Kluyveromyces lactis: one gene and its partners. The protein of the gene in region 2 purifies or fractionates together with the protein of the main gene of each other region. This does not show direct contact. Links are inferred from orthologs where the notes say so. Each region holds a gene or a part of one and is shown on either strand. Other genes may lie near its edges.

Region 1 (5,313 bases), on a different chromosome or scaffold from region 2:
GTGAAGAAGCAGTTGAAGTCAATGACGTTAAATCAGCAGCTGCAGAACCTCCCGGAGGTAAGATGGATTCGAATTCATTGATCAAGGGCAACGATTTCATACGATTTTTCGCATTGGCAGAACTAGACGCAGCCGTTGACACGGATGTCGTGGCAGAAATCGTACTCAGCGGTGACATTGTATTGACATTCAGAGGAGAAGTGTTGGAAATGAATTGGTTGAATCCAGACAAATCCAAAGAATGTGTTCTTTGATGGTTATTCTTAGAGTTCATCTGGCCCAACGGCGGAGTCACTGGCTCAATGACAGATTGAACAGAGTTAACTGACAGTTGGGGTTGATGATGGAATTGCATTATCCACTAGTTATGTCTCGACTCCGGCTTCCCCTAAATACTTGAATCTTTGATTCTATTATAAGATCTTCTTCAGGAAAGAATAGCTTTCAAAGGTTAATCACCAGACGAAAACAGGGACTTGGAGAGAAAAAAAAAAAAGCACAGTTTAGTCTAAACACAATCTGTTAGTATCTCAGCTGAATAGTATCCTCTTGTTCCCTCTACTCTTTTCTTTGAATGAAACCAAATTTAGTTCGCAGCTGATCTGGTACCAGATCTGGAAGCAAACAAATATAAAACAAGCGAAAGTATAAAAAGCCCACAAATCAGAAACTGATCTTTTGTCTAGCGTACCCTAAAACTCATAGGTCTGTTGTATACACCAGGAAAACCTCAAACAATTGTTCCAGTAACACGCTCTTCTTACAATGCAAACTCTCTGTGATTCTTGATTCTCTCTATTCTTATACGATTCTGATTCTTCCATACTATTCGAGGGATAATGAAAAATAATACTCAAGAAATACGTAGACGCCCGCGTAGGAAATATCTGCTTTCCTATTGCCCTGCCTAGCCAGACCGGGGGCGCCGCCCGCGGTCTAGGCAGATCAGATGAGCGTAGACAGGAATTTGAGAAAAATGATTCAGGGAAAACCAGGGTTGCTCACGTGCCGGACAATCTGTCTGGACAGACATTTTTCACGATCGAAATAGCTGTTAGGCAGAGAAGTCCACCGTGGCCAGGATTATTGTCCGGCACTTCTAAATCAGGACGAGAATGTGAATCAAAAAGAGGGTTGGATTGAGCGAAGAGGCTGGATCAAAGGTACTGTAGTCACCTGCAACAGTTCTAATATGAGAATCTGTATAGTGCTACTTTCAGTATCACTATAACAGTAATTTAAACGAGACTCAAGTTGGATCATTAATTGGCAAAAGCTTTCTGTAGATGCAGAACAGGGGGAAAGAAGGTAAAGGTTAATGGGTAAAGGGGCTGTCCGTTAGGACAAATTTCAATACATACTGGTGGGGTTTGGAAAAAGCACTGATTGCTTACGGATCAGTTTCTGTGGTGAAAACTAGAACGTAGATCCAGAAATCAATTTGATCTGGGGAACTACTTCGTTTCCAGTGGGATCAATGATGTTCTTTTCCTGAACAACGTCGACGCTAGTATCTGTATATGGACCAGTGCTAGAATCTGACCTAATAAGTGCTGTTTTGAAGGTAAGTTTGTGTATATCAAGCGCAAAGAATGTGTATGTATAATACTGAATATATATATATATATAGATAAAATTATTTGGTATGATTTGGTAGGGTAGTACCCTACTTTATTGTGAAACAATAAAGATGAATACTTAGGGTAACCTGAGGGTCCAGAAGGTCAATTGACACGACGTGTGAGTAGCAATTAGTTCAATGCATTGGAATAGCTGGTATCTCAACGGCAGCGAGGCATGAAATTGTCAGTCTCATTGGCTATAATTCAGTATTTAACGCTAAATATATGATTAAATAATGATGATTTAGCCAGTACTTTCTAATAAGGGAACTCAGTTCTAAAATGAAATAGTAATATACAATAACGTAGCGGAGTGGGGGGTGATGCAATAGGGAATAATTGAGATGAGTAGGAATTTTGGTAGTAATAGGTTGTACTTGTTCTTACACAAGTAGCACAGCGTTGACACAACCGTCTCTATCTGGCTCATTCGTGATTTGAGCATATTTACCCCAAACCACTTTACCACCAGAAGTAACCATACCTAATTCCGAGACGTTCACTTCAATAATAGTACCCTTGGTTAATACACCCAACTGTGTGTACATTGGCGATTGAGGATTCTTCTTCACCGCAAGAATTGGCAAGAAAACGGTGACTCCAAGTTCCGGATGCGTCACATTAGCCTTCTTTTGTCTCAAAGCACTAGGTCTGATAATCCTTTCCATCTTCACAGGCCTTCTTGTAAACCCTTCACCAACAAACGTATGTTTCGTGATCATTCTCTTCCATGCCTTAGACTTAGACTTACCTGTCTTAACAACTTTGAACATCTCTTCCTCACTGATACCTCTGACCTTAGGCAAAGGAACAGAAAACTTGTCAGCCTTCTCCAAACGCTTCTGCTTGATGGAACTGGATATAGCCTTTGCAGTGTTGTTCTGTTCTCTGTCTAACAAATAAGTAGGCAAAGCCTCCCCGTTCTCATCCAACGGTTTGGACCCTCCTTTAACTTTACTCTGCTCATGAGCACGGATCTTCTTCTTCATAGCAACCTTCTCAGCATAACGCTTCTTAGCAAATTGCTTACCCTTCCAACCAGTCAATTTCTGAGCCTTTTCAGAGATCTTATGAGCCTCACGGGCTTCTCTCTTACGTTTTCTCTCATCGTGGTCTAATCTACGACCATGTTGCTTGATGTGCTGTTCGATATATTCGTTTTGAGGCATCTTTGTTTTATTGTAAGAACGACTTGTTCGGTGATGACTTACTTCTAAATCACAAACGGACACACGGACTCCTTGAATGGACTTCTTACCACATGTTAACCCATGCGATGAGCTAGTTGTTCAAGTTGTCTTTGTATGCTTTTCTCATTGAAAGAAAAAAATTCAATAGGAAATGTCGAAAAGAAACGTAGTGAAAAAAAAAATTTGGAATCAAGCGATGAGATGAGATGAGATGGGTATCAGCCAGATACAAGTTTGGTTGTCTGGTGTGGGTTTGGCATAGGTTCGATCTACTGTTATTGATGTATAAAACCTCATTACATTCTATTGACAAGGGTTACAGCGGAAATATAGCCATGTCTGAGGAGTTAGGAACTGTTTTGAAAACGATTAGAGATTCTTTGAAATCTTGTGGAGAAAGCTTGGATAAGTTAGAAGAAGTCTATGATGATGAGGAGACCCATCCTTTCCAAGGTTCAGCGGTGGTAGGTCACAAAGGTGATAAATTAGAAAAAGTTTCTCTACTTTCTTTGAAGAATGGGAGTATGCTATCGTATTTGAATTCGCTTCTGTTGGTATTGGGACAGAAATTGAATAAAGAGATGGTTGTTGATGAGGGTAGAGTCAGGGCAGTGGAACAACGAGTTGTTCTTGAAAGAGGTGTGAAGCCCTTGGAGAAGAAGTTAGGGTACCAGCTGGATAAATTGACGCGGGCGTACATTAGACTGGAGAAAGACGTTGAAGAATCCAAGAAAAGAGCCGAATTGCAGGGACTGAGTGACGTACGTGCTTCCCAGGAAGAAGTATCAGACTCAGATTCTGATAGTGAAGAAGAGATGCAATATAGGCCGAACAGTTCAGGAATGGTCAATAACACATCAGTTGGAGGGAAAGCCAAGGGGAAAATCGCTGTCAAGAGTACTCACAATGAAGAAGATGTGGATGATAAAGATAACGTTTATAGACCACCTAAGATCAGTGCCGTTCTGCCACCAAAGCAACATCACTTCGAGGATAAATTCAACGCACAAGAACATAAGGATAAGAGTAGCAGGTCTCGTATGCAAGCTATGGAAGAATACTTGAAGGATTCCTCGGAACAACCGGAATGGGAAACTTCTATCGGTGCCAATATCGTCAACCATGGTAGAGGTGGTGTGAAGACAGCAAGAGATACAGAACGTGAACGTGATGTTCAAAGATTCGAAGAAGAAAATTTCACTAGATTGAACCCCAACGGATCCAAGACTGACAAGAGAATGAAAAAACAAAGAGAAATCATGGCCAAGGTTAATATGATCGCCGGTGAAGATTTCAGTATCTTCAACTCCAAGCGTAAGTTGGAGGATAGTACAAGCAGAAGAGGTAATAAGAAATCTAGAAATGCTTGGGAAAGAGCCAAGAAGAAGTTGTAAACCTGAGGTCCTTCTTTTTCTATGTATAAATAGGCTAAAATATCCATACGTCTCTATTGTCATCATATAGTGTCAAATACGTAGTTTATAAATCGAATGATAACGGTGTTGCACTGCTCAAACTCTAGCTTTGATGTGGTTTGTTTCGTTTCGTTTTGTCTCGTTTTCTTCATATCAAGGTGTAATCACCAATAATTAATTAATACAATCTAAGCGTTCCAACTTTGCAAGATATAATCACCACCTATCACCCCTACTAATCTCCTACCAGCGTACAACTTCCAGCGCCCCTGATGAAGAACGAATACACCAGAAAGAAAGTCTCAGCAAAGGATAGGAAAGCATGTCTGATATGTGGTAACCCTACAGTCACAGTTTTGTTCAATGGAAGCGGACCTGATTGGTTTTATACATGCGATATACATCTAGTTGATAACCCGCAGTTTGTACAGCCTCTATACCCAAAAGAGTATCACGAGTCTCTGGTTAGTCTTAAGCCACTCAAAGAACGCATAGAGGAGCTACAAAGGAAAGAGCGAGGTACCTGGGATCAATGGGTTAATAAGATCTTTGACTCTAAAAAGCCATCATCATCTGATGATAAGAAAGAGGACAGGGATGACGCGAGTTCTGACGACAAGAAGAAGACCGATGAAGCAAACTCACTTGAAGAATTGCAGCAAACGTACCAAGCGACACTTGATAAGCTAGCTGCATCAAGAGAGACGTGCAATAGATACACTCTACACGACCTAGTATTCCAATCAAGAGTCGACAGACTACGGAAACTGGCTCAATTAAAGGAAAAGAAACGTGTAGAGCAACAATCATACACCAACACCGACCCCAATCAACTATTACAATCGTTTTCGTTTCCTGAAGTCCCCAAGAACACCGTTAACAAGTCATGAGAGGACGGCCTAATATGCCTACCTCTTATGTCTTTTGTGCAATTCTATATCACGTGATTGATATCACGTCAAAAAGAAATTTCTGATCTTTTCAACTTTTCAATGAAAAGCTTTAAAGAAGCAGGACATAGTTAGATCCCATGCGATGAGCTTCAAACTAGAACAGAATACTTGCTGGTTTCAGGCGTTTCATCTC
Region 2 (6,315 bases):
GAGCTGGGGCAGCATCAGCTAATTCGACTTGCTCATCGACGTACTTTCTAGCAGCCTTGTCGTAAGCCTTAATTTCATCTTCCGTGGCGATACCCAATTCCAATAAGTGCATCTTTAAACCTGCAATTGGATCGTTCTTAGATCTCATGTGTTGGATTTCATCTCTGGTTCTGTAAGTAGTACCTGGATCAGACATAGAGTGACCACCATATCTGTAAGTTTCGTATTCAAGAACGATTGGACCGTTACCGGAGACAGTCCAGTCCTTAGCGAACTTGGAAGCTTGGTAAACAGCCAAGATATCCATACCGTTAACCTTCAAACCAGGAATGTATTGACCACGCTTGAAGTATTCAGTCATGGCTGAAGATCTTGCGGCAGCGGTACCCATACCGTACTTGTTGTTTTCACAACAGAAGACGGCTGGTAAGTTCCATAACTTGGCCATGTTGAAGGATTCGAAAACTTGACCTTGGTTAGAGGCACCATCACCGTACAAGGCAAAAGAACAAGCATCTTCGTGTTTGTATTGATGAGCGAAGGCCAAACCAGCACCCAATGGGACTTGGGCACCAACGATACCATTACCACCGTAGAAACCAGGGGCGTACAAGTGCATGGAACCACCCTTACCGAAGGACACACCAGTTCTTCTACCCATCAATTCAGCCAACACAGCTTGAACAGCAGCACCTCTCATGTAGGTGAAACCATGACATCTGTAAGAGGTGATGACGGTATCACGCTTAGTGATAGCGTTTTCAATACCAACGGCAATGGCTTCTTGACCGACAGAGGAGTGACAGAAACCTCTAATTTTCTTAGCCTTGTACAAAGCGTCACAGGCCATTTCCATTCTTCTAACGATAATCATATCCTTGTACATTTGTAGCAAATTGGACTTGGTGGTTTGATAACTTAATTCAGGAACATCCAAAAGATAACCTTCAAAAGAGGTTTCTGGCAAATCAATTTGAACTAGGTCATCATCACCTGGCTTAGTTTCATCAGCAACCTGGGACAAAGCACGGACGTTTTTAGAAAAGTTTCTAACCAATCTCAAAGAGCTGGACTTCCCAACCACAGAGGATTGAGCTTTCAAAGATAGCATGGTTTGCCTAATTTATTGTTCTTTTCGGTATTAACTACTATAGCGACCAACAATTAGAACACACAAATACACACTCAGCAGTAGTGATGGCAAAATATGTTGTATAGAGAAGAAATAAAGAAGAAGAAGCTCTGAGTTCCTGATTCTATATTAAAACAAAAAAAAGCCAACTAATGAACGATTCCTTGTTCCAAAAAATTTGACAAAAATCAATCAATCAATCAATCAGTCAGTCAATTAATCAATTGCTTGGCTCAGTATCACTGAAAGACCAAAAAAAGGTTCTTAATCACGCAACAACTGTTTCTCATCATATTCACAATTAAATCCGCCTTTAAATACTTGTGAACTTGGGAAAAAAACTTCAAAAAATTTCGTAGCCAGCCAGTCGGTATAGATAAGGGACTTGAAATAACAAGAAGTGGGTATAAGCAAGGTCAATTTTGCTCTAATTGGGGTCAAACTTGAACCGTTGGGTAGCTGATGATGCGGAGAGTATTGATATTCTACTTATTATGGGATATCTGACAGTTTCGTCTGGTGTAGGTAGAGTTTATTGTGCTGATTCAATTAGACAGACGGGATTGTTGTTAGAAAGAGTGGGAAAAGTGACGTGCACAGCGCGGTGTTTGGGTGGAACATGGGCAGCAGATCTATTACCCGGATAATATGCGGGTCATGAGTTCTAATGATACACATTACCCGAATATTAATACTTTTGGCGCACGTGATCAGAAAGTGATTTCTTTTTCATTCTCTTCTGATCGAGGTCCGGGTAATATTTTGGAAAATTTTTTGAAATATCTTAGTGCTGTGTGGCAGGAAAGGTTGTATCCAGGAAAGAAATTTGGAAAAAAAAAGTATCAGTGAAAACTTTAAAGCGATGAGATGAGATGAGGTAAAGAGAAACGAGGTACATACTTACATCATTATCATAGTGTATCGTTCCCTCCTTTGTATCAGAAAACAGCTAATACTAATAATTTGTGGATAAAATTATCCGTACTATGGCGTTACAAATCTCAAAGGAAGACACTCAGGTGTTATTGAAAGATAAGAATGTATTGATCGAACCAACAATTGAGAAATATAGAACTGCAGGTCAAATTGCTCAGACTGCTTTAAACTTTTTGATCAGTTTGATCAATAAGATGTATCATGAGAAGTCTATGGAGCCGCTACCGATTCATCAACTTTGTTTATTGACTGATTCGTTCATAGCCGATTGTTTAAGTACTAAGTTCAACAATAAGGTTAACGAGAAGGGAATCTCAATGCCAACTTGTATTGATATCGATGAAATAAACGAGAACTGGTGTCCTGAAGTGGATGACATCGAAAACTTGTCCCGTTGGAACCAAAAATCTAGATCTACCAAATCGATCGAGCTATGTAACGGTGTTACTTCTAGTTTGTCTGGGTTTTTGAAAGTTGGTGATGTCGCTAAGATCACTTTGGGTTGTCACATCGATGGGTACACTTGTAACGTGTCCCACACCGTGGTCATTTACCCAACCGTTCAGGATGCCCAATCTGGAAAATTGCTACCTGAAGCTGCTTTGCTAGGTGGTAAAGCTGATGCTCTAGCTGCCACCCATATCGCTGTTGAGTCCGTCACTAACTTATTAGCTGCTGCAAACGATTTGACCAAACTTCCAGCTGATTTCAACGCTACGAAGGTCACTGGTTCCTTGATTAGGACCGTAGTTGACACCATTGCTCAATCTTATAATTGTTGCGTTGTGCCTGGTTCTCGTATCAGAAGAATCAAAAGATTCCTTTCTGGTCAAAACGAAAATATCATTGTCGAAAGAGACTTCAAAGGTGTCATTTGGACTGAGTCTCATCAGGAAGCTGCTATGCTTGCTAGAACCGTCAATGAAACTGCTGTTGATGTCAAGCGTAAGAACCCATTTATCACCGAAGATACCGTGGTCCCAACAGATGATTTTACCGTTGTCAAGGGTGAAGTTTACATGATCGATTTGAAGTTGGCTCCATTGCAAGGATTGGAGCCAGGTTTGATCACTTTACACACTGTCGATCAATTCTCCGGTAAATCTGAATCCTCTGATGTGGTGGCTAGACCAGGTGCCATCTGCCGTGATTTTTCAAAGAGCCATGTTCTAAAGTTAAGAGCTGCTAGACAAGTGTTGACCAGATTGGATAAACAAGGTGTATACCCTACCAAATTAGCTCATATCGCTGATTCTTTCCCATTGGACGTACAGGAGCCTGATTTCGAAACCATCAAGCAAGAAATCAAGCCATTCAGATTAGGTCTTTCTGAAATTTCTAACAACTACCTAACAATCGACAGAGATGTCACCATCGTAAAACACGTTCCTTGGGCTAAGATCTTGGATCTAACAAACCCATCCGGTGTGTCAAGTTATGACGCCATGGCAAAGAATAAAGGTTTATACCCAGGTTTCGAGCTTCCTCTACCTAAACTAGGTTTGTCCAACCTACAGTTGAAATCCTTGCTAAAAAAACACTCTACGCCAGTTCCTGTGGTCCGTCAATGTGTCACTGTAGCCATCTGTGATGAAGAGTTGCTAAGAATCAGCGGAAACCTAAAATCTAACTGGGTTCATTCTGTTTACTCTATGGATACTGCAAGCAATATCGTTGCAGGTATATTCAAACTGGCTCAATTGTCCGAGGATAAGAGATTTGGTTTGAAGATCAGAGAAACTCAACCATGGAAAATGAAATTCTAATTTATTCATTACCAGTATTAACTACCTTCTTTGATAGAACTACTTCAACAGATAACAAATTCTATTTCATACACAAACACCCTTTTCGCATCTGCACACAATAACTCTACATTGATACACCAGTTCATATTATATTCAATACTCGTTTGATTTCGGTAGCCCAAGAGTCTTGTTCTTATGAGTCTTTATTCTTACCAACCAATTGCAACAAAAACAATGTATAAATAGCAACTTCTAAGTATCTTGTAGATCTGTACACTAGCAAAATCATAATAGAACTCAAGCTCTCAACTTTGTCATTAGTTCTTCTACTATTAGTGTGTTTGCTTCGGAAGGATTATCAAAACGTTCAAAATGATGGCGGCTAATTAGATTTTAGTATAAAAAGGATTTGGAGTCAGAAACCAAATCAACAAACCCAACTACCAATGAATATGACATAGCGAGATATCTAGTGCACATAACTAGGAGCGAGAAGGTGATCCTAAAAACCAATAACTTTGCATTTCATTCTACTTGAAACGTCCCATTCCATTTCTATTTAAGCTGTCATGTCTACAGAGACAGAAACTAAAACCAATGTGGTCAATATTGATGAGTTACAAAACTTCGGAATTAACGCGTCTGATATAACTAAATTGAAGACTGCTGGTATATTTACCGTTAACACTTGTTTGTCGACGACCAGAAGGAATTTGTGTAAAGTTAGAGGGTTATCGGAAGTGAAGGTAGAAAAGATTAAAGAAGCTGCCAATAAAATCATCACCATTGGCTTTATTCCAGCAACTCTGCAATGGCAGATTCGTCAAGCAGTTATGTCTATCTCTACCGGGTCGAAACAATTCGATTCTGTACTAGGAGGAGGAATAATGACAATGTCCATAACTGAGGTGTTTGGGGAGTTTAGGTGCGGTAAGACTCAATTATCCCATACGTTATGCGTGACAGCTCAATTACCAAAAGAACTAAATGGACCTGAGGGTAAGGTTGCATATATTGATACAGAGGGTACTTTCAGACCAGAAAGAATCAAGCAGATAGCACAAGGGTATGATTTGGATCCCGAAGTGTGCCTTGAAAATATCTCGTACGCCAGGGCACTCAATAGTGAGCATCAGATGGAGTTACTTGAACAGCTTGGCGAGGAACTCTCTTCAGGAGAATATAGACTATTAATAGTAGACTCAATTATGGCCAATTTCAGAGTTGATTATTCAGGCCGTGGGGAATTGAACGAGCGTCAGCAAAAACTAAACCAACATCTTTCTAGATTGAATCGTATCGCTGAGGAGAACAATATCGCAGTTTTCATGACCAACCAAGTTCAAAGTGATCCCGGTGCTTCTGCCTTGTTTGCTAGTGCCGATGGTAGGAAACCTGTCGGAGGACATGTCTTAGCCCATGCAAGTGCGACAAGAATATTATTGAGAAAAGGTAGAGGTGACGAAAGGGTCGCGAAATTACAAGATTCGCCTGATATGCCGGAAAAGGAGTGCGTTTATGTCATTGGTGAGCGTGGAATAATGGATTCTGATGAATAAGCCACTATGGGTGGCTCGTAAGAAAGACATACTTTCTATCGATAGAACGTTTTTACGAACAGAATAGTACAACTCTATAAACAAGTGACACACATCCATTTCCCTTACCACTTCGATAGGTGTTTTCTAATAGTCATATTCAAATCTTTCTGGCATGACAATGGGTGCGAATAAGGTCCAGCCGTATAAACCATAACAAATCCAAGCACTTATGATTTTAACCCATGAATAAAAGTATGTCCTGCCAACAGGAATAAAATCTCCAACATCATCTTGTGTAACATTTATAGTCAATAGGATCACAATCCATTGCGTAGCTAAAAAGAAAATGAAATGAAACAACGAGTAATTGTATTTTGTTACATTGAATTCATCATCATCACCATCTTCCCTACCAGAATCATTGACATGCATTCTTTGCTGCTCAGCTTCATAATCAAGCAAGGCGGATTGGGGCAAAGCACCCTCCTCAACTGCTTGTTTGATCGCTTGCAACCTCAGTTGATTACGTGTCTCTCCTATCCCGGAGTATTCAACATCATCATCGTATAAAGAAATCGCTCCGCTACTACCTCTTAGTGCGTTGTTTGCTGCAGCTCTGGTTGTCGTATATGCGATTGCGATAAAAGTGAACAGTGCACCTAGAACGGTACTGAACTTTCTGGTGTTACTTGTACGAACTAATGGATTGCAAAATTTATCGTCTGGTTCACTTGCCATAGCACTCATTGTTAAGTAAGTGCAATATACTGATACCATAGAACTTTGCGCAAGTCCACATTTTGGATTGAACTCTTGTACCCTTGGATGTATCGAGGCTAGTGACACGATAACAGATAATGCGACGTTTATAGTTGCACTTGATCTGTTCATATCACATCCGTCGTGACAGAATAAAGTGAACATCACAACCATCATGACAGCACTTCCGATGTACATT
Region 3 (5,809 bases), on a different chromosome or scaffold from region 2:
GAAACATCTCCCTAGGAGATTGATCTATCCTACTACTAGACGAAGAACGGATAGCCATTGGCAAGCAAAACAATGGGAAAAAAAAACAGATAGAAAAGAAAATATAAAGACTCTACCCTATTACACTTGGAAAAAATGCCCTCTATTTCTTCTTTAAACTATGATCAGGGCCTAAGACACCTTGTTATACTTATCTAGTGAATGATCTCCCTAAAATACACCAACAAATGTATGAAATGTCACCCAATTTTTTACCAGAAAATTTATACGATATGCCTTGATTAATGACAATACTAGACATCCATATAACCTAACTGTGTCATACAAGTAAACCCTATGTAGCGCTCCAATTTCCTTTCCATTTCCTTTTGACTTTCCTCTTCCTTAGCTTTGCATGCTTCGAATCCAATATATCCTATAAACGGTGATTCCATCGAAATTCCAAAACATCCATTACCCGGATATAAAATAGATAACGTGACTATCACATGCCCTGATTTTAAATCACGTGATTGAAATTCCTTTTTTTTATATTGTTCCAATCATTTTTTTTTTGACTCTGATTGACAGTTACTATAGGGCGCTCATTCGAGCCATTGGAATATCAATTATTATTATCACTTAATTATGATAGAATGAGATGAGATGAGTAGATTTAGATGAAAGATAGATATACCATATATACATATATATATAAAAACGTATATTTGAATCTGTATTAGATCGGTTCTGGTTTAAGAGTGTACAAATACTGAATCAATCACTACATATCAGGATATTTCATTCGAGAACCGACATTATTTATTTTTGTCAACTCATATTTTAAGGTACAAACAGACAAACCACATCTACCCCCTCTCACCCGCCGCAAAGCAGTTAAAATTACCATGTCTACAGAAAAGCCAGGCCGTACCATATTAGCGTCTTCTATTTCTAAAACTTACGTTCAAGAAATTACTGGAAAGGTGGAAAGTCTCAGGAATATTAGACCAGATGGTCCGTTATTAGTTGGGTTTTTGGCCAATAATGATCCAGCTGCAGAGATGTACGCTTCCTGGACTCAAAAGACTTGCGAGTCTATGGGGTTCCGTTACGAGTTGAGAAGAATTGAAGATAGAGACTTCTTGGAAGAAGCTATCATCGATGCTAACCAAGATGATTCCGTTGATGGTATCATGATCTATTTCCCTGTGTTCGGAAACGCACAAGATCAGTATTTGCAACAAGTGGTATCAAGGGAAAAAGATGTAGAAGGGTTGAATCACGTTTATTATCAGAATATGTACCATAACATTAGATATTTGGATGATCAGAAACAGTTGAAATCGATACTACCATGCACTCCATTAGCTGTAGTGAAAATCTTGGAGTATTTGAAAGTTTATAACAATTTGTTACCAGAAGGGAACAGACTCTATGGGAAGAAATGTGTTGTAGTGAATAGATCTGAAATTGTTGGTAGACCTCTAGCTGCTCTGTTAGCAAATGATGGTGCTGATGTGTTTTCTGTTGATATCAACAACATTCAGAAGTTCACACGTGGGCAAGGTTTGAAGTTTACGAAACATCATGTAGAAGACTTGGGTGCATATTCAGAGGAGCTATTGAAGGAATGCTGTAAAGATGCTGACGTGATAATAACAGGTGTTCCTGGTGAAAAATACAAGTTCCCTACTGATTACATTAAAGAAGGCGCTATCTGTATCAATTTTTCCTCAGAGAAGAATTTCGATGAGTCTGTGAAATCAAAAGCATCGCTATACGTTCCAAGCACCGGTAAAGTAACCATCTCCATGCTGTTGAGAAACATGCTCAGATTAGTAGAGAACAAACAAAAATTGCAAAACCGTTCAGCCTCCACGAATTAAGGCAGTGGATCGATCAAAAAAAAAAAAAGAATTATACTCTATTTCACCTTTATCTCATATATATGCGAATGTGTATGTATATGATTAGATATGTATATGAATTATATTATACAGTCAGTTTTTATTGTCAATGGAATTTATTTCTTTTGCTTCTTAGCAGGTGGAGCATCGATATCTGTTGCCGTTACGAATTCTTCACCGTAAGTGTCATCGACATTTTCTTGATCAAGATCGCCTTCAACTTCTTCTAGGTACTCTTCCATATCCGAATCCACTTGATCGTATTTAGCCTTCAAACCCTTCATCTTTCTAGTTTGCAATTGACCCAAATCTTGCTTACCCACATGCACTCTACCGATCTTATCACCCATAGTATCGATCTCAACGTTCTTAGCAACTCTGACTTCCAATTGTCTAGGTTTCTTATGGGCTTCCTTGACCATTTCTGGAGATGGAGTGTGAATTCTTCCGATCTTGAAATCGAATCTTGGACCAATCTCTTCCAATTCCACTCTAGGTAACTTCTTACCACCTTGTTCGGACTTGTAAGTCTTCAAGTGATACACTCTGAATAGAACATTTGGTAATGGTTCACCGTCTTGGAAATCACCTTGGACAGTGATAGAAATGATATGTTGCAAACCTGCAACATCTTGCAAAGTGGTATTCTGACCTCTGAAAAAGTCAAGGAACAATGATTTGATATGCTGGTAAACTGGATGTTGTTCAAAGGCTGCACCTTGGAAACTGAACATTGGCTTTAACCCAACGTTAAAAGTTTGTTTTCTGAAATCAGACAAAAGTTTATAGTTTTCTGCAATCTGCAACTCGATAATATCATAGATCTTATACCCAAACGTACGAATAAAAGTCAAATTGTTTCTTCTCTTCTTAGAATGTGTGCTCAACACCATAAGCGATGTATCATTCTTTTCAGATAAAAACTCTAATGGTTCATAATCTTCAAAAGGTCTGATGTTGTTCTTCTTGGAGAATCTCTTGATATCAGGCTTCTTCAACGCACTCAAATCAACCATTGAATCATGCAACAACTTGGTAGAAGTTTGACCAGGAATGAATAAAGCTTGCTTTACATTCTCAACCAATTTTGCTTCTTTTTTATCCAAAGCCCTTTTAGCACGGGCATTCTTAGGCTTTACTGTTCTGATCATCCTGGTGTTTACGGTGTCTTGATACAAATCACAACAATTACACCTTATAGGATAGAAATCTGAGCCAAAAGATGAACTATGTAGACTGTAACTTAGCTCATCGCATTTAGCTCATCGCATCGATTTGTTCCAGTTTAAAGATTTAATTTTCCAAGTTACTTGATAAGTGAAAAGAAACTATTCCAAAGTCACGTGGCGGAAAATGTTTCACGTGACATCACTTATGACGATTTCTTTGGCGACAATGAAAACAGAAACATTGACCAAGATTTTAAACAATGAGCATCAGAGAGTCTATTTACCTTTATAATTACAGCAATGCAAGGTCAAGCTAGGTTCGGCTAACAAGGTAGTGGATCAATTGAGATTAGAATTTCAAAGTTTTACATTTGGTGATTCTTTTGGCTTTTTTTTTCAGTGTCAAGATAGTACAAGATGAAGCAATTGTTTCAGCTCAGGAAAGAGCTTAGTGTACCAGCAGCAGCACCAGAGGATTCAGTAATCTCTGCTGAGGAAACGACAACTGGTTCTGCTGTCACCAATGTACAATTTTCGAATGAACAAGTTATCACAGAGAATGGGAAGTATAAGGTATCGAAGTTAGCGCCAAGTTTAAGTTTTTTGCCCAGTAATGTGGAATTATGTTGTAGCGTTGATGCAAAATCTGGGTACGCCTTATGCTGCGATACTGATAATGTTTACGTTTGGCCATTTTTATCTTCTGAAACACACCCTAGTTTTGTAAGGATTCCATTACATGACGAGGAATATGAATCATGGTCCCGTCCTCCATTATGTTGCTTTACGTGGCCTAGTGTGCTCGAACGTGACTTGAAATCAAGCCCTGGCTTATTTTTAGTGAACAGTAGATCCGGTGACATTCAATTCTATGAAGATGTTGATACTGTGAGTCAAGTGGCAAGTTTCTTGACGCAAACCAAACGTCATAAATCAGTTTTAAAACTACGTGACGGTGAATATGTAGAGAATTTGATTAATGCAGAACCAGCTGGAATATTACTTTCGACAAATTACGGGCGTGTTGAGTTTTGTACTATAAGAGATGCTAACGGGAAACCTTTTGTATCGCTAAAACAAACCATAATAAAATGTCAAGTCGGAATCTTTTCATCCATGTCCAAATCAAAGAGAGTGGTATCTCTCAAATTGGGCGAAATCAGCGGTAAAGGAGAAAGAATAGTTTCTATTTTAACCCAGGGCGGGCGATATCAGGTGTGGAACCTTTCATCTGTTGGGAATTGTTACAAAAAGATCGATTTAAATGTACAGTCTGAAATTTCACAGGCAGTCTTAGAGCATTTCCCCTTGGCAACATCTACACTGAAACTACTCGATTGTCATCCTTTATCAGGAGACTCGGATGCATACTTGTTCTTGAGTTTCTTAGCGGAAAGTAACGAAACGCACTATTTACTATCAACCATCATTGTGGATGAAGATACTAACAGTTTCGCTATCTTCTCTACTTACAGATTAAACACATACACGCGACCATTATCAGATGAATTTGCCCCAAGACTTATAGTCCCAACTGCATACACCAAGGAACATTTACCGATAACGTCTGTTTACACTTTATTCTCTGATGCTGCTGTCCTAACTCAAACAAGTTCCAAATTGGACTCTAATTATCCATTTAAAAGGAAATGGGAGGACATTATACGGTTTAACAAAGATATGAAAGTTCTTGGGTACGATTGTAATTCAAGTTCCTTATACATTACTGATGGAAGAACATGTGCGTTAAAGTTGGAGACTTTTGAAAAATACGAAAACTCTGACTTCCAAGAAATTAGATTCATAAAGTCTCATGTGGATCAATACGTCTATTTTGGAGGACAATCAACGGATTCATTACTAGACTTCAACTTACCTGACAATCTAGATCTACAACCACAAGAAATTGAAACAGATATTCAAATGTCCAGTGATGAGATTAAATATGCATTATCAAACCACATACCGCCTGTTGCTAACAACCCCATGAAACACTTAAAAATAAGAAGCGAACTTTTTGAAAGACTTCTCACATTTGTTGCTCATAATTTTTTGGATCAAACATCTTCCCAATTCAAACTGGACTTGATTTCTGATTTTGAAATGATAAAATGTTTGGAAAGCTTGTACTCTTTACTACCGCAACAACCAACATCTATTTCACAAGCTTGGAAGACAGTACTATCAGAAAGTTCCTATCAATCGGATTCTGATTTTATCTCAGACGGCATTGTTAAGATTCCAGAATTATTGGGCGCCTTTTTGAAGCATTTGAAAGACCTAATGAAATCCACAAATGAAACTATGTTAAAATCTCAGATCGCAAAGCTTATAAATCAACTAGTTTATCATTCCATATTAGAAGAATGTGAAAACAGCTACAGGTATGGACTTTTCCAGATGAGCCCAGATGATGTATCAAAAAATATCCCTTGGTTCACAACAAATAGCATAATAGAAAATCTTAATGACATCTTCTTCTTGTTAAGGCATGCCTCTGAAGATCTTGCCGTTGTGTCAGAATTTGTAGAGGAATTACTGCTATTGGTTAAGTCTCTATTTTATATGGTCAGGCAAATAACCATGTGGATTGATGCAAATGCCATTACTGATTCTAGTTATAAACAGTTTTTCGAAGAAAATCATTTACTTTGGAATAGGGTCCTTAGGGATGTTAACAGGTCTCAGGATTCAATTCTAATCACAGATTTTTACCAAGACTTTGAAGGCTTAGTTGAAACTTTGCAATCT
Region 4 (5,845 bases), on a different chromosome or scaffold from region 2:
AATATTCCAAATGGGATTCATTATAGTGTTCAAAGTCGTCAAATGGGCATTATTTTAAGTGTTATAGAAGTGCGAGCTTACATAGTCTTTTTCCATTTGTGTAACCATATATTATTTAAACAACGTCTGGAATGTTATCCTGCTGTTAAGGCAAAAGTATTTACAAGGGAATGGGTAAAGTAAAGAAGAAACCCAATGATGGGGCTTTTCACTTCTTATCCAAAACACTCATCGAAGCGGCTTCTTCTTCTAAGAAAATACCTCTCTCAGCAGCCTCATCTAGTATCTTTTCTCTTCTCTTCATCTCTTCTGCATAGTATCTGTCTTGGAATTTGATCAATTGCTTATCAGCATTGAAAACTATCCCCATAGAGATCCAAGAACAGTGATAGAACACACGAACCTGGGTCCGCACGTTCCTGTACGTGGTAGAAAACTTCCTTAGTAATAACGCCGTTACTAACCCAATGGCTGCACCTTTCAAAGCACCAATACCAGACGCAATAGCTATCTCTTTGGTTAATTGTTTCACTGTGCTTGGATCATAATGAACAGGTTGAACGTTTCCCATAACGGATGAATTTATCTATAATTTACGATACGTATAACGGCAGCCACGTAAAATTTAAGCTCAAACAGATATGACTTGTCCTGAGGTGCCAGCTGTCCTAATTTTGCCATTCTTTTTTCCATCTCTGCTTTCGAATGTGTAAAAGGGAAGCTTTATCAAAGCGATAAATGCATCAGTTTTAAATAAAGAGTATGGCATGACATATGAAGTTAGAGAGAAAGGGAACAGAGGAACAGGGTGAGTGATGCAAGTTTTGTATTAGAGAGCTATATATGTATAGACAAGGATATATAGATGGCCATTATGATGTTTCAAAATATCTTCCTTTTTTGGTCTGTTTGTGGGCGTTTTCTTTATATATAATGATGATTCTATGATGAGGGTGGGTTCAGCTGTCACATTTGTCCCCGTCAGCTGCTAATGTTTAAGAACCCAACAGTGGACGGTTGTGTTTGAGACAGCGGGTGACCGTTTCTGTCCTGTGACATCATAGCGGCCGAGTTCTTGATAGTCCCTATCAGTTCCAATGGTTTCTGTAGTCTATTGTTCGATCTTCCATTCAACGTATGCAATACAGACTCCCAATCTTCTAAGTTGGAAACCACGGACATAAAGGATAAATCTGTGGATGCGAATTGTATACAACTGCACCAAATCTCAGATATTTGTTCAAAACACATATTCTTGTAGTAATTATTCGAAGCTGTCTCGAAATCAGGCAATTGGTTCAAAAAATCTGTAGAACAGTTCAAGAACTTCAATGATTGTAACACACTATCCGATTGTGGAGGGATGCTAGACAATAGGAAATCGATGACACAGTTTAAAAATTCCATGATTGAAGCCTTCATACGGCCAAAAGCATAATCGTTTAACAAACCATCCGAGCTTTGATTATACTTGGAATACGGAATATCCTCATACACCTGAGTCAATTTCTCCTTCAATACCTTGACGTACTGTTCCTTGTTGAAACTTATAGATTGTACCTTGGAAAACAGCGAATGCTGAATCTCTGGATGTTCCCTTACCAACGAAAGTAAGACAGACTGCAGTAACTGTTTATCCATCAATTCTACAGATCTCGGGAACGGAAGTGGCTGTCCTTGGATATAGTTCCGGTACACCGGTTTCTTTTTACTGACCCGTTGCACAACTTGAGACACAGGCCCATTCATCGAAACGTCTTCTTCTGTGTAACGTCTCTTGATTCTAGGCTTTGAAATACGACGTGAAGACGTTCCATGCGTAAGTCTATGCTGACTACTCTGAATATGACCATGAGCGCGCTCATGGTCGTTACTGATGTCATTGCTCTCAGTAGAGCTCGTCTGTTCTTGACCCATGTTCAAATTCTCACCAGAAGAAACACTGGGGCGAAATCCCCATTCAAACCCAACACTCTGGCTCATTGCAGTAGCTTAAAATCCTATACTGTATTGTGTTATTGAGACGCTTATTCCAGCACCAGTATCAAACCCTCTGGATAATGGATAACCTGGTTTCGTTGGGTAGTTTCCTTTATGCATTTGTGCAAAACTGATACAGAATGTTATAGATAGAATATGGAATTTGAACCAGTTTCCATAAGGCACTAAATCGTATATGGTGACAAAATTACTCAAGATTATCCGAAACTTGGTCATTAGAGCACCAAACCGGTTACTTGGAAGGCGTATTACTGTCCAATAATGATCGAAGGATAGCTATATGGTATCTGAACAGTACAAGCTGACTATAATAGTCCAATTAGACCATATTTGCACATTTGCGTTTCTTTTACGTCCTTTTCTTTCTCTTTAAGCACTGAAAAATTTCAGTTTAAAGCTCATCTCATCTCATCACTTGAAGATGACTTACTAATGCAAAGTGTATTGAAAGTTCATATCTGTTTGTTTCTGGCTTAGTTAAAGGATCGGAATACCACTGTTAATCCACAGCTCACGGAGAATTATAGTTGTTTACTGATTAACATGGACAACACCGAATTGAATACAGCGGACAATGTTCCTGAAGAAGAGTTCATTGCAGATGAGGAAGTTGGTGAAGAAGTTGTCTTAGATAACGTTGAACCTAGTGAGAATATTGGTGATGATGACGATAATGATCAAGAGATGGGCGGTTTAGATGGTGCTGAGACCCTTGAGATCGATATGTCTAATAATTCAAGTGGATTTTTCGATAAGCATACTGATTCTATATTTTGCATTGCACACCACCCTACTTTGCCCCTAGTGATGACCGGTGGTGCAGACAACGTAGCGAACTTGTGGACTTCTCATTCGAAACCTCCTAAGTTTGCTGGATCCTTAGAACATACTGAGTCTGTGATTTCTGGTGGGTTCACACCTGATGGGAAGTTTTTAATCACTGCAGATATGAACGGTAAGGTATTTATTCATAAGTCTGTGAAGGGCGGTGCTCAATGGAAACGTTGTAGCGAGTTAGAAGAAGTGGAAGAAGTTGTGTGGTTAAAAGTACATCCAACGGTATCGGGTGTTTTTGCATTCGGTGGTGTTGACGGATCGGTATGGTGCTATCAGTTGAACAACGTGGATGGGTCGTTGTCTCAGATCATGTCCGGTTTCTCTCATCAACAGGACTGTACCATGGGTGAGTTCATTAATGTAGAAGAAGGTGAGAACAATTTGACTTTGGTCACTTGTTCTTTGGACAGCTCAATTGTCGCTTGGAACTGTTACATGGGTCAGCCTTTGTTCAAGATTACTCAAGCCGATATTAAAGGTTTAGAAGCTCCTTGGGTCTCATTGTCTGCAGCTCCAGCTTCCCTAACGAATAACACTGCAGTCATTGCTGCAGGGTCAAATAATGGGCTGTTGGCCATTATCAACTGTAGCAACGGATCTGTACTACATTTGACCACAGTAATAGAATTAAAACCAGAACAAGATGAACTTGATGCATCGATAGAATCCATCACTTGGTCTAGCAAGCTGCCTCTAATGGCAATCGGTTTGGTTTGTGGCGACGCACTATTATACGATACAAAAACTTGGAGAGTGAGGCATAAGTTCCAACTTGAGGACTCTGCCACCAAATTACAATTCGACACTATCAACGGTCACAATTTAATTGCTTCTTGCATCAATGGTAAAGTATACATATTCGACGCCAGAACAGGCCAAGAAGTACACGTTTGTGTTGGACACAACATGGGTGTGCTTGATTTTGTCGTCATTGAGAACGGGTCCAAGCTAATCACTGCCGGTGATGAGGGTGTATCATTAATTTTCGACCTGCCACAATGAAATGTGGGTAGGATTATACTAGGAAGGGATCTTTCATCATAAACTTTTCCGATATATATTTTATTTACATCAATGTCGTATATATTCTCATCCCAATCATTTGTTTAAGGCATTTCTAACCTTTTCTTCGACAATCTTACCAATCAGTTGACTCAAAGAAGATTTCGAATCGGCAATTTGCGCTTGTAGATGCACTTCAATCTGCTTTTCGATAACTTTACCTGTAACATCAACTTCGACATTAACCAGATCGCCCACCTGTTTCAACGGCATGATAACGTGTTCTTGAGTGTGCTTTATCATTGCGATGTAAAAAGTCCCATCGTCGTCAATTGTAGTAACAGTTAGGGAAGTACCATCCAACGAGATGAACCCTTTCTCAACGATAAACTTCTCATAAGATTGTTCCCCCAGTTTGAATCCAAACACTATGGAGTTACCATCAACGGTGCGTGATTTGATAGTGGCTACTGTATCGACATGGCCTTGAACGTAATGCCCACCAAAACGGACATCCTGAGACACAGCTCTTTCGAGGTTAACCTTGGTTCCAGTCTTCCAACTGCTGATATCGGTTCTACTAACAGTTTCTGGTGAAATACCAACTTTGAACGAATTAGAATCGAATTCAGTCACTGTTAAACATATACCATTGCATGCAATGGAATCTCCGATATGACAATCACTCAAAACTGGGGCCGCATCTTTAATGGTCACCGAAACACCATTACCACCACTAAGAGTTTCGTCCAACTCTTTGTACTCAGCAACAGTACCAATATGTTCTACAATACCAGTAAACATTCTTGCGGTTATACTCGGCTATGTTTTGGTAAGTCTCTTCCTTGCCAACATAGGTTTCCTCGAGATGTACTTTCTACTCAGACATGAGATTTCTCATTTAGTCATACAGCCTGAAAATGTGAAAGAAATGAGGTGAAGAGAAGGCAGAGCATGGAGGGAACAGGAAGGCAATGAGAGGACCAGGAGTGATGCCTTCAGAGGTGTTCAAGGGCACCCAGATAAAATGGTATAATGAAGCGTTTGTATTGTATTTTTAAAAGTGTTTTTCTACTGAACTACATATTGATTTTAAACGTCCATTGAGTGTCAGTGATTCATTCTTTATATAGTCAAATGCCGTTACCATGAAGCTAAACTGTGGGAATAAAGGTTCAGATAAGCAGAGTTTGATCCGTGATATTCATGCAAGAAGCTCTTAAGCCTTAACGTAGGCAAACGGTCGTTTGTGCTATTGCGTCAGTTTTTTTCACCATTATCCAGCACTGACCGGAGAAGGTCATAGGAGAGAATGGAAGAGTACTAACAATGCGCAAAGCAGATAGGATGGTCTTAAACTAGAAGAACCAGAGTTTTCAAGCATAATTAGATTGTCATGTATATTGATTAAGACTTCTCTTTTATTTCCTTTTTTCTTTGCCGGACATGTCTTAGAGGGTGATTTTTGACATTTCTTAGGTAAAGGCTTATCAAATACAGAGTCTGTACTTGAGTTGGTACTGCCAGACAGACTCCAGGGGGTAGAATTTGATTTTCTAGTTTGAGGCAGAGAGCCTGTTGCACTTACTGTTTGTATTCTTGACCCGCTCGTGGTTTTTACCTGGGCAATAGAGATCTCCAAGTTATCAAGGTCATATACTACATATGCGCTTTTCAAAACAAGATCCCCCAGGATCCACTCTTCGCCACTCGCAATTATTGCCAACCCACAATAATTCTGACCGGATTCAGGTAGATATAAGAGGTCATGTATTGGCACTTTCAGTTTCAATTCACCGAAATCGAAATAAAATGTGCGATCATCATTGGATGCTGGGCAATCTAACACATACAACCCGTCGCTTTCCGAGAATGCAGCGCCCAGTTCTTGGGCAATACTTTCTAGTGCCTCTTGAGGAGCTCCCATGATTGTACTACCAGAATCAAGTAGTGCTGGGGCCTTTTTATGCGCGATGACAGTATCTTTACAATTCGATTCACTTCT
Region 5 (6,130 bases), on a different chromosome or scaffold from region 2:
TCACGAAATTCCATCCGTTTTCCTTTAGAGTTAAAATGACATTTTCATTGCTTGCACAACAGTGCTGATATGCCGGTGTTTCAAGTTTTACAGTTTTAAATTCATTTAGAAATCCTCGTATTTGATGCGGAGCTGACCCAAGCACGTTCGTCGAAGGCTGAAGATATGTCACCAATAATTCAACAGCCTGGGAAGCCGCTAATAGGGCAACACCCGGTCTAGTTACAGTACACATCTGATCTAATGTTCTGTCAGTTAGAGAATCACTTGGGGCCACGATATCGTTACAGAAATAGCAACCCAGGTTGTCATTATTGTTGCCATGTCTCATTACCAAATAACTGTCAAAACCAAGGGCCGCATTAATAACTATTTTTTCATGCATTCGTCCAAGCACCGAGGGAAGCCATCTCGTCTCGCGTGCATCCATTAAAAGAAATATAACATCATGCGTCCTTATAAGCTCGTCCAAAATTTCATAATCCTTCCTCTGCTTGCTTTCGTTCGATACAGGATGTCCTATCATTGGTATTTCCAATTGATAACCTGCAGAAACGACAGAAGGAAATATCTTCTTCAGAGAGTCACTGGCAGCTTCGGCCTTTGGTCGCCCACAATCTTCAAAGTTGAATAATGGTTGCCTTACCGGATTAGAGAAAGAGACAGTGCTGTTGTCGACAAAAGTTACATGACGAGTACCCCAAGCTAATAAAGCTCTAGCCACGTAGCAACCTAGGGTACCTGACCCCAAGATCAATGCTTTAATGTTCTTTATTCTTTCTAGATCAATGTCAGGAGCAATCCTCCATTTCATTAGCTTGAGATTGAGATCAATGGATTGTTCTGCTATCTTCACGGGATCCATCAATGAGCTTAAGTCAGCCGATTTCGGAGCTAATTTTCCAAGACCATTTTTCTCCCAACCGCTGACCTTAAGACATCCTGTATTGCTCCCGGTAACTCTGATCTCTGCCGCGAAGCTGGAATTATCATCACGAAGGAAACATATGGTGTACGTATTCCTTGTGGATATTTGACTCCAAACCGTTAGAAAGTTCTTAGTAACTGCGGCAGGAATGCCCTTCAGCCGACTGAAGTCCTTGAAGATGACTTTCTGACATACTTTGAGATACTGAGGTGATGCTTCCTGAATCTTTCCATCCACAACACAGGAGATAAAGCTGTTCTGCTCCCATATATCCTTCTTTACACCATCTTCGATTGATTTTGTTGAGATTATTTCGTACGATGACCCCTCAGACTGGAAAGTAGGCATACAAACCCAATAATAAAACTTATATTTCTTCAAATCGGCGAAGCTTATGACATAAAACCTAACACACTCTTTGAGACCATTCTTGAGGCCCTGTTCTAGTAATTGCTGTCCCTTTTCCTTGATAAACTTTACTTTGTCACAGGATTTGAATGATTCGATAGTATTAAAATTCAACACTGACCCTTTCAAAGTCACTGCCTCATTATTGAGAACAGGATCGAAACTGTCATCTCTAAGCGAGAGTGAAACAGTGTTAGAAGTGATATTTTCAAGGTCTAGTGCAGAGAACAATTCTTTCTCAGCAGAGTCTAACTTGAACACTTCAAGTTTTAATCTTGATAATTCATGGAAAAACGAGGTATCAACAAAAGACTTAAAAGCTGGTGAAAACTTAAGATCGTTAAGCATCTTTCCTGGTACTCAGGTTTTGTTCCATGAAGAAAGAATAGTACTTCTTGGTTTACTTTATTTATCTATGCACTGCAGTTAAGGGTATAGTGTATCAGGGTAGTATTACGAATCGACGTCTTTTTTACAAGAATGAACTAAACTCAGGAAAGCATTGTTACCCTGAAACATGCCAATTATTAATATTCACTAGTGTACACTATACAAGACGGCCATTGTATCATTGATCTAATGCAGATGATGAGTAAATTCAACTAACTTGCCTATCTCGTAAATATATATTGTAATTATTGTCCAAACAAGAAGAGACTAAACCAAATTCTATAGCATTTCTTCACCTTGTTGTTGATCTTCTAAAGTCATCTCATCCAACTCATCTAATAGTTCATCAATATCAATTTGTGGAGCATCTTCATCTTCATCTTCTTCCATCTCGCCTTCGTGCTCTGCTGGTTTGTTGCTCTTATATAGATTGATTGTTTGTCTCATTTCCTCATCTTCCTCCAATTCTTGTAGGAAAATCTCATAATCTCTTTCAGCACGTTCCATTTCTTGTTTCTGTTGTCTTGAAGTGTAGTCTTGAGAAGCTTCGATATCCTTGTGTTCCTTAGCCATTCTCTTCAACTTCCATTTTCTGTTCTTCTTTGTCTTTCTTTGATATAGTTTCTTGATTAGAACGATGTCTGGCACGTAATCAATATTTAAACCATCGAAGAGCTCTGAGTTATAGTTAGAGTTAGCGATAAAGTAACCCATGACACTGTCACCAGGATGAATAATACCACCAAGATGTGTTCTAACGTAATAGACTTGGTCATTGGAGCCTAGATCGGAAGATCTAGCGACAGTAACGTCAGCCAATACCCATTTGTTTCTAACTTGACCAGTAGGTTCAACGTCCAATATGATGAATTCAACTAGTTGGGACACTTCAGCTAATGCACTGAAAGGTTCACGCCAGTACATTGGAGCAGTCAAATCACACGTTTGAAGAGTGGTTGGATCCAGGAACTGGAGAGAGTTAGAAACCTTGGAACAGATGACAAATTGACTGATGTTACCCAAAGACTTGGCAAGCTTCTTAGGTAAAACAACCAAATCATCTCTACAAATTGGAACAATTTCCACGGAAAAAGTGAATTTGTAAGTAGATGAACCGGTATGGATATCTTGAGAGATTAACTCCTCGGATTTTTTACATTTGATAGGTACGACAGCATTTAAGAAATCCAACATCTTAGCAGCATGGTTCTTTTGAGAATAGAAGAAATCTAAACCATCCTTTGCCTCACTAATGGAAATGGTGTCAACATGGGCATTGTGCTTCAAAATCAACTGTTCTAAATACAAGAAAGTTCTCTTATGAGGAACTTTTTGTCTAATTTGGACGTTTGCTCTCCATGTATTAGTGGTATAAGATCTAGCACAGTCCGGACATTGCATGGCAATCACCACATATTCCACTTCAAATGTTTGCTGGATAATAGTGTTAGCCATAGCTTCACCTTGAACGGTCAATTTGACCCGGATACGTCTAGAATGAGGTTCGGTCCAGATAAATGATGCATCCACTAATCGAACTTTGTTTAAGCCTTTCAAACGACGTAAACACAACGCCAAAAGTTCACGAGATTCCAAAGAAGCCCTAATCCATTGGCTTGGTGGTTGCAAGAACCTCTCACAGTTTCTACAGAAAGAAACATTAGCCTCTCTGGGAATACCTTCTGTAATATCGACATTCAACTTAATACAGTCGTAACACATAACTAGCCCTGAGGACCCATCCATAGGCACACCACAACTGCAACATAGCACTGTAGCATGCTGATGTTGCATGTGATTCTGATCTAACGGAGTGTAATTCATCGAGTTCGGTGGATACTTCTGCCCTTGCTGGAATACCTATAATGCAGACATTAATCAGCTTTCAAGCACTATCAGACTGTGCAAGAACAAGATGCGATGAGATGAGCTTTCTCAAAATTTTTCTTAAAAGAGACTGCGAACCCTCAAGAAAAAGAAATTTTGCACGTGACTTTGAACCTTGGATTTATGCATCTATGCATATTAAGCTAGTCTATATACAGGAGAATTACACTTTATAAAGAATGATTAACACGTTCAACGTTTGGATTTCTTTCCAGCAAATAGCAAGCCAAATTGTTTCTTGGAATGTTTTTGTACTTTAGGTTCCATATCTTCTTCATCCGAGGAAGAGTCGGAATGCGATGAAGTCGATTTGGTATAATATTGGTTTTTACTGTGGTCTTTCGAAACATTTGTGCCTCTCGGAAGCTCGTTACGTATCTTCTGTCTTTCCTGATTCCTTATCTTATGTTTTAACGAAACCATAGCCTGGGAGTCGTCTTTCCTCACTCTGTGTATACTGTTTCTCTGTTGCACGTCCTTGGTAGCTCTTTTCTTTTTGGCTAAAGAGCTGACCTTCTTATCACTTTTGATGAACTCTCCAATGGTATGTATATCGGTATCATCAGTACTTTGCGCGTTCTCAAATGATAAACCGCTTCCTATTTGAATGACAGGCAACTGGAAAAATTCCTTCTTTGATTCGTTGCTATCCTCCTTTGCTAGATCATTAGATGACGTCTTAGAATCCTCTATCCATCCGAGCACCTTAGCAGTGGAACTGCTAAACCCATTTTGAAATTTAGCAAGTAGTGCTTGCTTTTCTTTTATCTCCTGAGCTCTTGACATGGCTTGGTGAGTCTGTATTACTTGTTAGATTGTAAGAGTATACCTTTATGGCGGCCGATGCATCTCATCTGGTTCGATCTCATCGCTTCAAAGAATAAGTTACCATTTTTTTTTCAGTGATTACTCTCTAAGGAAGAATCAGAATTCACGTGACTGATTTTTAAATGGAATATGTGGATAGGTCTATCAACTATGTGAGTTTATGTACGTCTATGAGTCTTTTCTTTGGATTCATTCTTTCTCTTTTGGAGTTTCCTTCTTTCACCAAAACCTTCTTTATCCATGGCCATGAGACTTTCTCTTTTTGCTGCTGTAACCTTAGTTAACGACTTCCTAATCACGGCTGTATCACCTACATCGGTGAACTCTTCCATCTTTTTATTAATCCTTTCCTCAATTGCCTCTACTCTTTGAATATCCTTTTCTGTTACAAAACATAGTGATTCACCATGGCGTCCGGCACGCGCTGTACGACCAGCTCTATGAATGAAAGTATCTGGGTTGCCAGGAATATCATAGTTTACAACAAGTTCAACAATAGGGATATCCAAACCTCTAGAAGCGACATCAGTAGCGATAAGAACTCTCGCAGCTTGTGCCCTGAATCTTTGTACAGAGTTCGTTCTTTCTTGTTGTGGCATTTGACTATGAAGTGACGTGACTCTTACATCTAAAGATTTCAAAGTTCTTCTTAAGATTTCAGCCGTTACGGTACGATTAACGAAAATAATGCAACTTGATTTGACGTATTTCTCACTGGTCAATATCTGGTATAAGTATGACTCTTTAACGTGCTCTGGGACTAGCAAATATGTCGTCTCTAATGTCTTCGGAATGGCGACGTTATCAACAGACTCAACCTCAAAAGTAAACACAGGAGGTTTGCCCTCCGTCTGTGGAGCGTCTGATAAAGCTTTCACTTGGTCTGTCATAGTAGCAGTGAAAAGGAGATTCTGTCTTTTGTTTTTCGGTGGTAAAATACTTACACATGTAGCAAGGTCCTTACTGAACGTTTCCGTCAATAATATATCGGCTTCATCTAGTACCAGAAATTTTACTCTTTTTAGCCCTCCAATGGTATCTTCCCCGCTATTCAGGACATGGTGTGCTAATCTACCTGGTGTGGCTATTATGAAATGTGGTCGTTTCTGTAATTCGATAGCTTGTTGCACTATGCTCTCACCACCAACTACTATTGCGACTCTGATGTTCATAGCACTTCCAAATGCTGTGAACTGCTCTGCGATCTGCATCGCAAGTTCTCTGGTAGGTGTTAAGACGATCCCAAACATACCTTGAGGGTCCTCGGACCATTTGGTCAACATCGGAGCTGCAAAAGCAATAGTCTTACCACTACCGGTGTTGGCACCACCTATACAGTCACGCCCTTTCAAAATCTCAGGAATACAAGCCTTTTGAATCGCAGTGGGCTGCACGATTTTCATCGCATTTAATGCTTCCACTAACCATTTTGAACATCCTAAGGACTTGAACTCAGAATTAGACATCTCTTAATATAGATATTATAGTTCTTAGGTACTCTTGGCGAGGTTTATATACAAGTTACTCCTACTAACCACAGCCTTTAGGTCAAAGCACATCTCATCGCATCTGTATAGAAATTTTACATGTTAAAGACTCTTTCCGTTTTCTTTTTTCATTCAAATATGCACCAATATGGGATTTTGGGGGCCCAAAATATTGGATTTCGGAACAATATTCGAACATCGG

The links. The genes of interacting proteins can lie anywhere in the genome.
Region 1: the proteins of ARX1 (region 2) and NSA2 purify together in Saccharomyces cerevisiae (affinity purification with mass spectrometry; 12 studies listed by BioGRID, with this or other methods). This does not show direct contact. The link is inferred for Kluyveromyces lactis from reciprocal best matches to the Saccharomyces cerevisiae genes ARX1 and NSA2.
Region 3: the proteins of ARX1 (region 2) and RPF2 purify together in Saccharomyces cerevisiae (affinity purification with mass spectrometry; 9 studies listed by BioGRID). This does not show direct contact. The link is inferred for Kluyveromyces lactis from reciprocal best matches to the Saccharomyces cerevisiae genes ARX1 and RPF2.
Region 4: the proteins of ARX1 (region 2) and SQT1 purify together in Saccharomyces cerevisiae (affinity purification with western blotting, with the first as the bait; 3 studies listed by BioGRID). This does not show direct contact. The link is inferred for Kluyveromyces lactis from reciprocal best matches to the Saccharomyces cerevisiae genes ARX1 and SQT1.
Region 5: the proteins of ARX1 (region 2) and NMD3 purify together in Saccharomyces cerevisiae (affinity purification with western blotting; 28 studies listed by BioGRID, with this or other methods). This does not show direct contact. The link is inferred for Kluyveromyces lactis from reciprocal best matches to the Saccharomyces cerevisiae genes ARX1 and NMD3.

What each region holds. Positions count from the first base shown.
Region 1 is NC_006041.1:1,203,829-1,209,141, forward strand, and holds NSA2 (rRNA-processing protein NSA2), read right to left. Parts: upstream 2,792-5,313; coding exon 2,006-2,791; downstream 1-2,005. Other genes in the region: MPT5 (Mpt5p), read right to left, coding at 1-355; small subunit rRNA maturation protein LCP5, read left to right, coding at 3,019-4,206; VFA1 (Vfa1p), read left to right, coding at 4,500-5,117. UniProt on the Saccharomyces cerevisiae protein: Involved in the biogenesis of the 60S ribosomal subunit. May play a part in the quality control of pre-60S particles. Under normal, rapid growth conditions, high levels of NSA2 would allow the progression of pre-60S particles through the ITS2 processing.
Region 2 is NC_006042.1:1,096,225-1,102,539, reverse strand, and holds ARX1 (putative hydrolase), read left to right. Parts: upstream 1-2,118; coding exon 2,119-3,834; downstream 3,835-6,315. Other genes in the region: PDA1 (pyruvate dehydrogenase (acetyl-transferring) subunit E1 alpha), read right to left, coding at 1-1,111; recombinase DMC1, read left to right, coding at 4,386-5,375; TMS1 (Tms1p), read right to left, coding at 5,502-6,315. UniProt on the Saccharomyces cerevisiae protein: Probable metalloprotease involved in proper assembly of pre-ribosomal particles during the biogenesis of the 60S ribosomal subunit. Accompanies the pre-60S particles to the cytoplasm.
Region 3 is NC_006037.1:703,520-709,328, reverse strand, and holds RPF2 (rRNA-binding ribosome biosynthesis protein RPF2), read right to left. Parts: upstream 3,041-5,809; coding exon 2,006-3,040; downstream 1-2,005. Other genes in the region: GTPase-activating protein GYP1, read right to left, coding at 1-58; MTD1 (methylenetetrahydrofolate dehydrogenase (NAD(+))), read left to right, coding at 888-1,868; NUP133 (Nup133p), read left to right, coding at 3,476-5,809. UniProt on the Saccharomyces cerevisiae protein: Required for biogenesis of the 60S ribosomal subunit.
Region 4 is NC_006040.1:1,331,587-1,337,431, forward strand, and holds SQT1 (Sqt1p), read left to right. Parts: upstream 1-2,544; coding exon 2,545-3,840; downstream 3,841-5,845. Other genes in the region: MTC4 (Mtc4p), read left to right, coding at 1-58; RCF3 (Rcf3p), read right to left, coding at 209-571; STS1 (Sts1p), read right to left, coding at 982-1,983; RIB5 (riboflavin synthase), read right to left, coding at 3,937-4,644; aspartyl protease BAR1, read right to left, coding at 5,141-5,845. UniProt on the Saccharomyces cerevisiae protein: May be involved in the late step of 60S ribosomal subunit assembly or modification in the cytoplasm.
Region 5 is NC_006037.1:457,568-463,697, forward strand, and holds NMD3 (ribosome-binding protein NMD3), read right to left. Parts: upstream 3,551-6,130; coding exon 2,006-3,550; downstream 1-2,005. Other genes in the region: ATG7 (Atg7p), read right to left, coding at 1-1,684; NOP19 (Nop19p), read right to left, coding at 3,806-4,399; ATP-dependent RNA helicase DBP8, read right to left, coding at 4,600-5,907. UniProt on the Saccharomyces cerevisiae protein: Acts as an adapter for the XPO1/CRM1-mediated export of the 60S ribosomal subunit. Unlikely to play a significant role in nonsense-mediated mRNA decay (NMD).